3 linked regions of the Coturnix japonica genome follow. The protein of the gene in region 2 binds, or shares a complex with, the protein of the main gene of each other region. Links are inferred from orthologs where the notes say so. Each region holds a gene or a part of one and is shown on either strand. Other genes may lie near its edges. The genes, in order: IQGAP2, CDC42 and CRK.

Region 1 (3,668 bases), on a different chromosome or scaffold from region 2:
AGCAAATTGCTTCATGACAGAAATATACTTGAGAGGGGCTAGGAGCATATTCCTCTACACTTAGTAAGAAGGCTGTCGGTAAATTGTGTGCCTTCAGCTACTAATTGTAAGTGTATAAGAATTCAAGTCAAAAGAACTATAGACCCAAAGCTATGGGTCTTTAGCTCTGCTAAAGTACATTCATATATTATTCTTGACCGTATTAACTCTTGAACTTCTTTAGAAACCCTCAGTGGAAAGTAATTACGTGTTCACACTTCCTCTGTGATCTGAGACAAAATGACAGTATGTCTTACAGATCTTTCTTTGAAACTGCAAGTAAAAAATATCTATTATACATAAAATACAGCAAAAAGACAAATTTGTTCTGTAGCCCTCCATGAAAGAGAAATGTTGAAGGACAACCTTCACAGTGGCAGTTATACACTGTTGAATAGAAAATGAACACATCAATGTTTTCTAATGCTTGTTATTCTTCTTTGTAGTTTATATCTGTTCAAACTAGGATTAGCACCACAAATTCAGGACCTACTGGGAAAAGTAGACTTCACAGGTAACGAACTGCTTATCTAATCATGTCCTACGTAACTCCTTCATGCAGTAAATCTGCTAACATTGTACATATTTTCCATTACAGTCTTTCTCCTCCCTTAGGGTTGTACGGAGCAGCTCCTAATTAAATATGTGGGAGGGTGCTATTTTTAATAAATACATGTTTTTGAAGGGCAGAAGCGAGTGAATTTGTATAGAATACTTGTCATATCTTAGATACTTTCTTTCAAAACGGGGAAAAAAGCTGCTGAGGATCCCTGATCACATTTGCTTTCAATAAAATAAAATTGCACTAGATACGATGATTCACAATGGAGTTATTCAGATTTTGTTCTAATGATTTCTTTCCTACCTGAACAGAGGAAGAAATCAGCAACATGCGAAAGGAGCTGGAGAAGTATGGCATACAGATGCCGTCTTTTAGTAAAATTGGTGGGATTCTGGCCAGTGAATTATCAGTTGATGAAGCTGCATGTAAGTAAACACCTCTTTTGGTTCTGTTTTCTACTGAATAAACTGAAAGGATGCCAACAAAATACTATTTTTATTCATCTATCTCTTGAACATCATCTTTTGATAAGCGATTAGAAATGCAGTCAACTGTTCATTGACCATCACATTTTGTAACTGTTACAAGATCTTTTTTCTATTTGCCCATCTGCATTATTGAGCAGAAGATAGTTTTATGCAGTCTATTGCATTTTTAGGAAGCACTATCAGAAACAAAGACTTCTTTCTATCTCTTGTGTGTGTTTATAGTTTTGGTACCTAGTGCTTCTTTAGAATGAAGAAGTGAGATTTGTGGGTGACTCTACACCAGAAAAGTTGCAACGGGCTACTCAAGACAGCATATGTAGTGAAATTTAAAAGTATCAATACAGAAAAGGAGCAGACTGAGTGGAGGAAAAACAAAGCAATGACAGAACACATTACTTAATGTAATTAAGTACCAGTGCAGCTTTCCTAAACTTTACAATGCAGAATAATTGAAACAGATTTATTTGTGATTTAGTGTGCTGAAGTTTCCAGATATGAACGTAAAGCGTGCTTCTCTTGTGTTGATTTACCTTGTCACGTATTTTGCAGCTTGCTGCAGCTGAATGCTGTGTAGACTTGTGCAAAGCCAGATCTTAAAATACTCTTTTTTGAAGTAAGCTTTGTTTTTCTGATTGACCTTTTTTTTTTTTTTAGCAAACTTTCAGAGATTTAGTGATGATAAAACACTTTTTTCCAGTAAGCTTCCTTCCTTCCCTTATGATGAAAGGACTGCAACTTCCTTTTCTGGTTCTGAAAGCTTTTTATAGTGTGTGTATATAGTTTCCTTCAACTTTGGAAGAGTTTTCAGCCTTTTATAGAAAATCAGGGTTTCCTGATGCTGGTTCTGTCTCTTTAGGCAGGGACTGTGCTGTCAGTAATGTGCCCTGCCCCAGAACAGGAAATATCTGCTGTGGGAACCCTCATGCATCAATGAGAATTGATGTGGAGATCCTGCTACAGGAGGGCTATCAGCCTGCTTCTGAAATGGAGTGAGCAAAATAGAAATAGGAAGTGAAACAACAACTGATGACTTTTGCTATGCTGTCAGTATTAGTACAAATCAGCATGCAAAGAGTAAACTTAAGTACTCTCAAAACTGACTATTTTTCTAAATAACCATATTTTGTCCGGTCACATTTCTCATTGTTTCTCTTGGCTTACAACATCCACCAGCACAAGTTCACAGCTTTCCTAATCTTTTTACTATCTGTTGTCCACTTGTTGCTGGCTCCACTTATGTCAGAGGTACCTCTTATACAATACTGTGAGAGATTACATCCTTTCTGTGTATTTTTAGATGCAGATGCAGGGGCTTACACATCTTCACTTTGCCCCTTCAGGCAGACCTTGGTTTTTATAAAGCTGAATGTTGAAGAAAACAGTGTGACTCTCCACATCCCTGTGCCAGCTGCTTATCATTAGAAGAGAATGTTGTACTGACTTGAGCTAGAGAAAACGATTTCATAGCAACTAACGGCTGGGGAACACTTTTCTATTTGTAGCTTGCAGATTTGCAGGGTATGGGAGTAGGGAGACATTTTGTTAGTGACACTGTCTTCCCCAGTTCTCATGGAGATCCTCAATAAAGAAAGGAGAATTATCATCTTGGACAGTTTTAGACATGGCATTTAGGGTTGTGCCCCAATTGGGGAGTCTTAGCTGTATTTTCTAGGTAACAGATTTCACTATTTGAATTTTCTTTTTCCTGCATAAAATCTTTCAGTAACAATTATTTTAAACAATATTTTTAAGTAGTCATATAATCATTTAGGTTTTGGAGAATACTTTTGCTATCATGAAATCCAACCATCCACATAACAAGTCCACTGCTAAGCTATGTCCCAAAGCATCATATGTACTCATCATGTAAGTGTTGCTGTACAGACACAAAGGAGCTTTAACTAAGGGAAGTGACTGAAAATACTTTTGCTGCATGTAATTGCCTTCAAAATGACATGGAACTTGAATAACAAAACTCAACTCATGTTTATACTGTCACCAAACAGCAGCCCCTAGTTGGGAGACAAAAACTAGGAACAGATAGTGGTCATAATGCTACTAAAGCTGCCTTTGAGTAAATAGAGTACATTTGTTGCTGCTGCCTGGGGAAACAAGTGGAAAGTTTATATTATCTTACGCGTATTAAACCATTATTTCAAATAAATTAGAACATGGTACTGACCTGAAGGAACAGAACTTGCATGCAACAACTGACTGAATGGTCTAGAGCTGGACAAAGTTGGACAAGGTGCAGTTAATCTCATAGTCATACATGCGCACTGTTCTTGGATGCTTTTACTGCTACTTCTGTATCTAATGGAGGTATTTCATTGTCTTGCTACAAAAGCTAAGTGAATTCTGGTTAATTAGTGATTTCCCACCATTACTGAAGGGATTTGTATTTCTGTTGTCAACAGCATGTTATCAGTTTATTCCTTTTAAAATGAAGACCAAGGTCAAGGAATGATTTGAATGTTCTAATTGCTTCCTAAAATCTTGGTTTATACTTCTAGTGCATGCTGCAGTGATAGCAATTAACGAAGCTATTGAGAAGGGAATAGCTGAGCAAACCCTTGCAA
Region 2 (3,979 bases):
TCCCTTTCTAGTGTGGATTTGTTCACCTTAGACCAAGTAGTTCTCCTCCTGACCCATGCCCTGCAGCAGAAGAAGGGGTTTTGGTGCCTGGCTTGAGACCTGAAGATGGGGATGCTGCAGCCCTGGATTCTCCCTCAGCTCATCTGCATCTTATCTGCCCACAAGGCTTTTGTTACAGCGCTGCCATCAGCCCAGCCCCATCCTGCGGAGCTTCACTCTGGCTGACCGAAATCTTCTCAGAGTCATTGTAGGATTTAGGAAGAAGCTTTTCCCAGCGCACCCTCCCTCACTCAGAGCACTGGGCAAATTAAAAGCAATGTGTTGTTATTATTAGGCCAGGCTATAATTAATTCCTTATCAAGTCACAAGTGCCTCATTTGATAGGGTGCTTCCCCCCCTGCATGTGTTATCACCCCAGGTCTTATTTTACTGCATGTTATTAAATCTGAATGGGAGAAAGTTAATTACTGCATGGGCTGTAGTGCTAATTACAGCAACATCGGAGACCTGTGATTTATGCTTCTCTGGGAGGAAGGTGTTCCTGCCCCAGTTTTATCTGTTTCCCATCATTAAGAACTGTAAGCTGATGTACAAAGGATTGGGGTGATGGCTGCTGCCTCTGCTTGTGGTTTCTTATGTGTGGGGTCCCTCACAAAGCTTATGGAAGGGCCTCTATTAAAGCTAATGGAGGGGTCTCTATTAAAGCTTATGGAGGGGTTTCTATTAAAGCTTATGGAGGGGTCTCTATTAAAGCTTATGGCGGGGTCTCTATTAAAGCTTATGGGGGGGTCCCTGATAAAGCTTATGGAGGGGTCTCTAATAAAGCTAATGGAGGGGTCCCTAATAAAGCTTATGGGGGGGGTCCCTGATAAAGCTTATGGGGGGTCTCTATTAAAGCTTATGGGGGGTCCCTGATAAAGCTTATGGGGGGGGTCCCTAAGTGCCTCTGGCCTATTGGCTGCCTCTTCTTGGCTTAGCCTGCCCCTAATGCAGTTTTGGGTCCATAGGGTGGGAGTTGCATTAGGAACAAGGCACCAAACAGCGGCTGGGAGAGGCCTGGGCTCTAACTAACCCTGCTGGTGACCCACATAGCGGCCTTATCGCCCCTCCGACCCAACCGGCCGCACAGGCCTCGACTGAGCAAACCGGAAGCGCGCTCCGCCTTCTCGTTCAATACGCGATGACGTCACCCGCAGCGTCCCCCCTCCCAGCGCTACGCGATGACGTCACCCGCAGCGTGCCCCTGCGCCTGAAGCCGAGGAGACCCCGCAGCGAGCCGCCAACGCCCGGCGGAGACTCTGAGGTGAGCGGCCGCGGCGGAGCGGGGCGGGAGCGGCGGGCGGGTGTGCGGGCTGCACCGCGCCTCTGTACCGCCATCACACAGCGGGGGCGGAGAACCGGGACCGTGTGGGTGCGGGCTGTGTGTGTGTGGGGCCTCCCCGCCGCTGGGTTGGGGCTGTTGGCGCAGAGCGGGGCTGAGGTGTGTGTGTGTGTGTGTGTGTGTATGGGGGGGAGCGCGGCCTACGCGGCCCAGCTCGGCCTCCTCCTCGTCCTGCCCCCCGCCCGGCACGGAGCGCTGGGCCCTGCGGGTTGTGAGCCCCGCAAGGGAGGAGGGGAAGCCGGAGGTCGGTGCCGCAGGTTGGGCCTGTGCTTCTTCCGGGAGCGCCGCCCAGCTCTGAAGTAGTTCCGAGGCGCAGTTGGGGTGTGGGCTTTGCTTTAGGAACCGCCGAACGTTTCCTTTCCTTCCCTTCCCTCTCCTCCTTCTCCCTATAAAGAGCTGGGAGGCGCTGCCCGGCTTTTGTCTCGCCCAGGTGCTGGGTCATCCGCCGTCCCGTTGATGTATATGGCTGGTTGTTGGCTGCTGTGCTTGGAGGGTTGATGTGGGGGGGGATTTCTCTTCCATCTTTGAGCTCTCTGAGATGAAATATAGTGTGGCCCCTTTCATAGTAGCTTTTCTTGTAAGCTGATGGTGGTGGTGGCCCAGGTGTGTGTGGAATCTGTGCTTGGGGGAGATAAGGATGGTACCTGCCCCATCTGCCTGCAGGCTGCAGAGCCAGCACTGCTATCTAACCATATAGACTGAGCACCATGAAGGCAAGGCCTGGATGAGAGGCTGTGATAGACGTGCAGGCCAAAGTAGTTCAGTCTGTGATTGCATCTGTTTGTATTACTTCTACCATAAAGAAAGAGAATCACAGAATCACAGAATGACCTGGATTGGAAGGGACCTCAAGGGTCATGTAGTTCCACCCCCCCTGCCTGGCAGGGCCACCAAACATACACATTTACTAGATCAGGTTGCCCAGGAGACCCCATAGATCAGGTTGCCCAGGGCTCCATCCAACCTGGGCTTGAACACTTCCAAGGACGGGGCATCCACAACCTCCCTGGGCAGCCTGTGAAAGAGATGCTGGCTTTATTCAAAGTGTTCCATTGGAGCACCCCAAATGGCCTTTTTTTAGAGGAATAATTAAAACCCAGGTTAAGTTTCTAGTGTTTCTAATGGGAGTAAGTCAGTAAAGCACTTGGAGCTTGGCTCTGTTGCACAGGAACAAGTTTAGATAGAAAGGCTTTGTATTCAGGTGTTTATATGTGGAAAATGTGTTGTTCTGGCTTGGAAATGAGTGAGATGATGGGGTGGAGTGTAGGCAAGTCTTCATCCGAAGCAGGTAACGCATGAATGAATCAATATGTTAATGTGTTTAATATTGTTAGTTGTGAAACGACTCTTTGTTCGGTCTGTTTACTGCTTATATGCTGCAGTAATAAGGACGCAAAGCATTTTAAAGCCTTGCTGAGGAATAAAAGCTGCAGGATAAAACACGCTTGCAGTACCAGAAGTGTCTTTAGATGCAGCTTTTAAGTCACCTACAGCCTTGCACACTGCAGCCCCTCAGTCCTTGCTTGCTGTGGCCAGCCCAGCTTTGGCTCCATCCATAGGCATGATGATGAATGTCAACCTACTCCAATTCAGGAGTGTTGGTATATAGGGGTTGTAATTATCCTCACACTTAATACTCAGTTTCTGATGAAAAACCAACAGATATGGAGGTGCTGTTGCATTAAAAGGAAGCGATATGGGTTTCTAGTATGTAGCAGGAGCTCTGCTTACACACTTAGTGCACTGTAGGCTTTGACCATGGCTCCTGTCACCCCGTTATGCTGGAATGCATGTGTCCATGGGTTCTGATCCAAGTTCCTTTAATGTGGAGTGGAAAGCATCAATGAGAAATCTCTTCTGGAACATCATTCCCAACAAAGTATAATCCCTTTATCAGCAGTGATATTGATAGGCCTGAGATAAGCACGCTGCTTCCTGCAGACAGTGTTGGGGCAGTTCCTACGCATGGAGCACCAGCAGCTGAGCCATGCACTGGGTGCTGCAGCTGATGTGCACAGGGTGGCTGCCCTTATGCAAAAGTGCTCACTGTGCTGCTGCCAGTGTCAGCTGTAGTGCTTCTAAATGTGTCTGGCTATAGGGAGGGGAGCTGGGATAAGCAGCCGTGCTTCTCAGGGTTTAATGTGGGATGACTTCTGCCTTCTTCTTTGAGTCCATGTGAAGGTGGTTCCTTTGAGGTCCGAGCAGTGAGCAGATGGGAACCTTGCTGTGCTGTGCCCACTGAGTCACGCTCTGCTTGACCAGGCTTGTTTTGAATGTAGGGCTGTGCAATGGCTGTTGACTCTTTCATTTCTTTTAAGTAGTAGGACTTAAAAGGTGTTATGTTGGCAGTGCTTTAAGCTCAGACTTCTAAAATTCTCCCACTCAGCTGCATTCACTTCCTATCTTGTGTATGTCTGCACTTATCAGCTTGTTGTGACGAGCCCTGCTGAATAGTGTGGTAGCTGTCAGTTCTTAAGTTGCATTAAGCATAGCATATATCAGTCTAAGAGCTGCTTTTTGAGGTGACACCTTGAGCTTCTCCCTTGGTAATTCATAGCAGCTCATCCAGAAAACAAGTTACTTCAAAATGATAGAGAC
Region 3 (4,251 bases), on a different chromosome or scaffold from region 2:
CCTACCTACAGTCCATCTGGAGAGAGAACAGGATCAGCGAAGGAAGGATGCTCATTTGTTAAACCATCTGATAAGTCAAACACCTGGTGTTTTCTTATATATTTATAACTGCAGCCTCCCACCTGTAAGATAGAATATTTTTCCATTGGGATACTGTGAAGGTTCATACAAAACACAATACCAAAGCCACTCCATGAGACAGTCACAGGGCTTCCCAATGCCTCACAAGAAAGCAAAGGTGCTGTGAGCCAGCACATGCACTTGCACAGTTAAGGGCAGCTGTGCTCCATGTTTATGCAAGTGCTGCCACATGGAGGCCACACAGTTGAAAATACACATTCCTTTGGGGGAAAAAAAAAAGCTTATAGAATTGAGCAGAGCTGGAATGGAATTGTCTATGCAGTTATCCAGACTCTGAAGATGTTACTCTGGAACTTGAAGCTAATCTAAACTTGGTACCTATTTCTCCATCCTTATAATTCTTAATGGTGCATACACCCACATGCACATTCCCCTGCAGCAGAAATGGAAGTGAAGCAACTTTATCTGCAGGCTCCTGCGGTCAGTGATCTTCTCAGGGTCAGAAACAGCTTGTTTTTCCACAGGGCTCTACTTAACACAGAACATCTCCCTGGGAAGGGTTTTCCAGTGGTTTTCCATGCAAACAGCTGTGAGGCAGGAAAATGCAGCTGGCTGGGAAGGTGAAAGCACCAACTGCAGGTGGCAGCTTCTCTCTGAAGGAAAAAAGACAATGAATTGAATCCTCAATGGAGGGACAGGAAGATGATCAGGGGCTGGAGCACCTCCCCTCTGAGGACAGGCTGAGGGAGTTGGGTTTGTTCAGCCTGGAGAAGAGAAGGTTGCGGGGTGACCTCATTGCAGCCTTTCAATACCTGAAGGGAACCTATAACCAGGAGGGGAGTAAACTCTTGGAAAGGGCTGACAATAGCAGGACACGGGGAAATGGTTTGAAGTTAAAAGAGGGAAGATTTAGGTTGGATGTCAGGGGGAAGTTCTTCACTAGGAGAGTGGTGAGGCCCTGGAACAGGCTGCCCAGGGAGGTTGTGGATGCCCCGTCCTTGGAGGTGTTCAAGGCCAGGTTGGACGGGGCCATGGGCAACCTGATCTAGTAAAGGTGTATGTTTGGTGGCCCTGCCAGGCAGGGGGTTGGAACTACATGATCCTTGAGGTCCCTTCCAACCCGGGTCATTCTGTGATCCTGTGGGTGCCCAGACGGACCCTCCGCACTCACAATCAGGTCTCACCTACAAGGCAGCACACACACAGCTCCCCTCAGACCCTGCGCTCCACCCAACGCGCATGCGCAGCCCCCACAGGCCGCCAACCGTCCCCAAGGCCGCGCGTTGTGATGACGTCACGTATCCCCCCGCGTCTCCCGCGTGCGGTCACTTCCGGTAGGTGAGGTCAGGGTAGGGGCCGCCATTTTGGTGCGGTAGGGCTGGGCGCGGAGCTGGGCACCGCGGGCGGCGGCGGCCCGCGGGGCGGGGGCAGCGAGTGCGGCCTGCGGGCGGGACGGCCCCCATGGCCGGGCAGTTCGACTCCGAGGACCGGGGGAGCTGGTACTGGGGGCGGCTGAGCCGGGCCGAGGCGGTGTCGTTGCTTCAGGGGCAGCGCCACGGGACCTTCCTGGTGCGAGACTCGGGCACCATCCCCGGAGACTTCGTCCTGTCGGTGTCTGAGAGCTCCCGCGTGTCGCACTACATCGTCAACAGCCTGGGGCCGGCGGGAGGACGAAGGGCCGGCGGAGAGGGCCCCGGGACCCCGGGTGAGTGACCCCCAGGGCTGGCCGTGCCCATCAGCCGCTGCGGGCCCCGCTCTGCGCCTGGTCCCTGCAGCTCCGCTCTGCTCACGGCCGGGTCTGAGAGTCGTGGTGGAGTCGTGTTGTGTTGGAGTCGTGTTGCTCTTTGTAGAGGACTTAATTCAATCTCGCCTTGCAGCCGTTTCCCTGCACCTGCCTCGCATCTAAACGATGGGACAGAGCGCAGCCCGGAGCCGTCACACTTTTACAGCTTTATGCCTTCTTTCGTTTTGTTTTAATTTGTGGGTGAGGTGTGTCAGCGTGGAGATGGATCCCTGGAAGTGTCAATTCAAAGGTTGAATTGGGTTGGAATAGTTGAGAGTTAAGAGGACAGATTGTGAGGCTAAACTTAGTCGTGAATCAAAGCTGGGTGGGAGCAGTGTAAAGGCGTTTGTTCCTTTAGATCAGATACGGAATTCAGGGTTCCCCCTCCTACACACACCTTGTGTTGTAAAGGGAGATTTGATGTTATTCCTCATCAACCTCTAATACAAACATAATGTACTTAAGTTAACCCTTGAAGTGTTGCTTTTGCATTGCAGAAAGCAATGATTCTGAACGCACAAGTGACCTGGAGCCTTCAGCAATGTATAATCTATCGATGTGTGATGAGAAGGTTGAATTAAGCAGCAGCCCTGATGGGGGCATTGCTGATGTTGGCGGTGGAGCCGCTCCTGTCTGGATGTTAATGCTCACAGAATGATGTGGGCGAATTGCTGGCATCTCTGAGAAACCACTACAAAGTCTGGAAGGCTGTATAATAAGGCTGTGTAATAGGAGAGCTAATGAACCTGACGAGGAGTGAAGTTAGGACATAGGTTGCTACAGAGACAGAAAGGCTGTGCAGACTGTAGTTGATAAAGAAGGAATCTGTTGGTGGTGGGTGGGTTTGCACCATTCTACAGTGATCTCTCCTGATTGGGGTAACGTTTAGAATTGACAAACTGGGGAAAGCCTGAAGTCATTGGGTTCATCACAGGAATCTGCCGCTGCTGTAAGGTGTGCTTCAGTCACACAAAGCTCTGCAATGCAGGAGATAAAGGTGGCTGCATTGAACTGGAAGCGAAGCGGGTAGTGAAGTGGTTTACCACAAGATACATTCGGTTCCTCAGCGTTTCATGTCTTATCAAGGCAAAGGTTTATTTTCATAGGTTGATGTGTGAAACGTGTGGTTGTTACACAGAGCAGAATAAGCTTCTATGGTGATTTGTAGTGGAGTCCATCCTGAGCTTTATTACTTTTTGGAAGTCCACTTTTTCCCCACCTTGATGTTATTGGAATAGGTGCTGCTTTGCTTTCACACCAAAGGTATTTTTGTGCTGAAATTCAAGTGGGTTTAAATGAATGTCATGCTGATGCTGTGCGCTTTTCACGCTCAAAGGAAGAAAGTGTGTGTGTAGTAAGTTACGTTTAACCTGTAATTAAGAATTTCCTCCAGGGAGAAATGTTCTTTAAAGGAAGGGACGTGCTATTATTGCTATAAGGTTGAAGATGATTTCAGGTTTGGATGGGGAAGGTAGTGCAGTGAAATGAGGTAAATGTTCACAAGTAGCTATTTTGGAAAAACCAACTTTACCATGTCAGTTTTCTATATGGTCTACTTATTTTTATTGCAATTGATTGTTTGACAGATGCACACAACTCACTGGAAAGCCTAAATATGCCCGGTCAGGTTCCTGTGTTGATTTATTGGCTTCAGGTGATTGAAATGCATGTGTGATTTGTGACTGCTTGTACCCTGCTGTGTGCAGGTGACAGTAGGAACCTGACTTTAAACCCATCACGTCTTTGCAGTTTGACATACAAGGATAGGGCCGTGATGTCTGGTGTACACTCAAACATCTAAAGACATCAGGCCAGAAGCCTGAAAGCCTTAACGTTTTTCTTTATGACATAGAGAAGTGTGACAGAGTGGAAGGTGATGTTTTCAGTAAGTATTATGCGTCTTAAGAACGTGCTTATTGCGCTCCATTGTGATTTTCTGAAGGATTCAGGCTGCACTTCCTGGACTCATGTTTTTATAGAGCATTCCTGAGTGCTTGTCTCAGTAGTGAGCAGACAGGCACTGAAGAACAAGGAGAAGAAGGTGTCGGAATGAAGGTGGGGGAAACAGGCAGAAGGTTTTGCCTCTGTTGCAGAGTTGCTCTAGGAGGAAGGCTGTGATATGTTGCTGTGATGTGTTCAGAGTGAGAGCCTCGTGTCTCAGCACCCTGAACACCAAGAACAGCCTTTCTTTCCCCAAATGTGCTTTTGAAGATGGGGGTAGGGGTTTGTGGGGTGTGTCTAGAGATGAAATTGAAAACCTATATTCCTGTTAAGTCTCCCATGCCCTAAAAAGGAAAGCTTACCAAAGCTTAGGGATAAAGAGAAAACTGCCTAGTGGCACGGACGGGATGGGAGTGAAGAGAGAAATGTGAAACCCTTGAGGGTCT

The links.
Region 1: the proteins of CDC42 (region 2) and IQGAP2 are in contact, whole or in part, in a crystal structure (PDB 5CJP), measured with the Homo sapiens proteins. The link is inferred for Coturnix japonica from reciprocal best matches to the Homo sapiens genes CDC42 and IQGAP2. Residues at the interface, in NP_001034891.1 of Homo sapiens: Gly12, Ala13, Ile21, Thr25, Asn26, Lys27, Phe28, Pro29, Ser30, Glu31, Tyr32, Val33, Pro34, Val36, Phe37, Asp38, Tyr40, Phe56, Tyr64, Leu70, Gln74, Gln116, Leu119, Asp122, Pro123, Ser124, Thr125, Glu127, Lys128, Lys131; in NP_006624.3 of Homo sapiens: Gln893, Thr894, Asn924, Tyr925, Ser927, Asn928, Gln929, Arg930, Glu931, Glu932, Arg976, Gly977, Asn979, Gln983, Asp1067, Leu1068, Leu1069, Pro1070, Tyr1071, Lys1191, Phe1192, Asn1193, Lys1196, Tyr1197, Leu1200, Val1201, Thr1202, Val1203, Ser1204, Lys1205.
Region 3: CDC42 (region 2) and CRK share a complex: the UniProt entries of both Homo sapiens proteins name them as parts of the collagen stimulated complex. The link is inferred for Coturnix japonica from reciprocal best matches to the Homo sapiens genes CDC42 and CRK.

Annotation. Positions count from the first base shown.
Region 1 is NC_029547.1:21,513,993-21,517,660, reverse strand, and holds part of IQGAP2 (ras GTPase-activating-like protein IQGAP2), read left to right. Parts: intron 1-485; coding exon 486-553; intron 554-912; coding exon 913-1,026; intron 1,027-3,602; coding exon 3,603-3,668. UniProt on the Homo sapiens protein: Binds to activated CDC42 and RAC1 but does not seem to stimulate their GTPase activity. Associates with calmodulin.
Region 2 is NC_029536.1:5,530,743-5,534,721, reverse strand, and holds the start of CDC42 (cell division control protein 42 homolog), read left to right. Parts: upstream 1-1,179; 5' UTR 1,180-1,303; intron 1,304-3,979. UniProt on the Homo sapiens protein: Plasma membrane-associated small GTPase which cycles between an active GTP-bound and an inactive GDP-bound state. In active state binds to a variety of effector proteins to regulate cellular responses. Involved in epithelial cell polarization processes.
Region 3 is NC_029534.1:3,973,162-3,977,412, forward strand, and holds the start of CRK (adapter molecule crk), read left to right. Parts: upstream 1-1,413; 5' UTR 1,414-1,542; coding exon 1,543-1,786; intron 1,787-4,251. UniProt on the Homo sapiens protein: Involved in cell branching and adhesion mediated by BCAR1-CRK-RAPGEF1 signaling and activation of RAP1.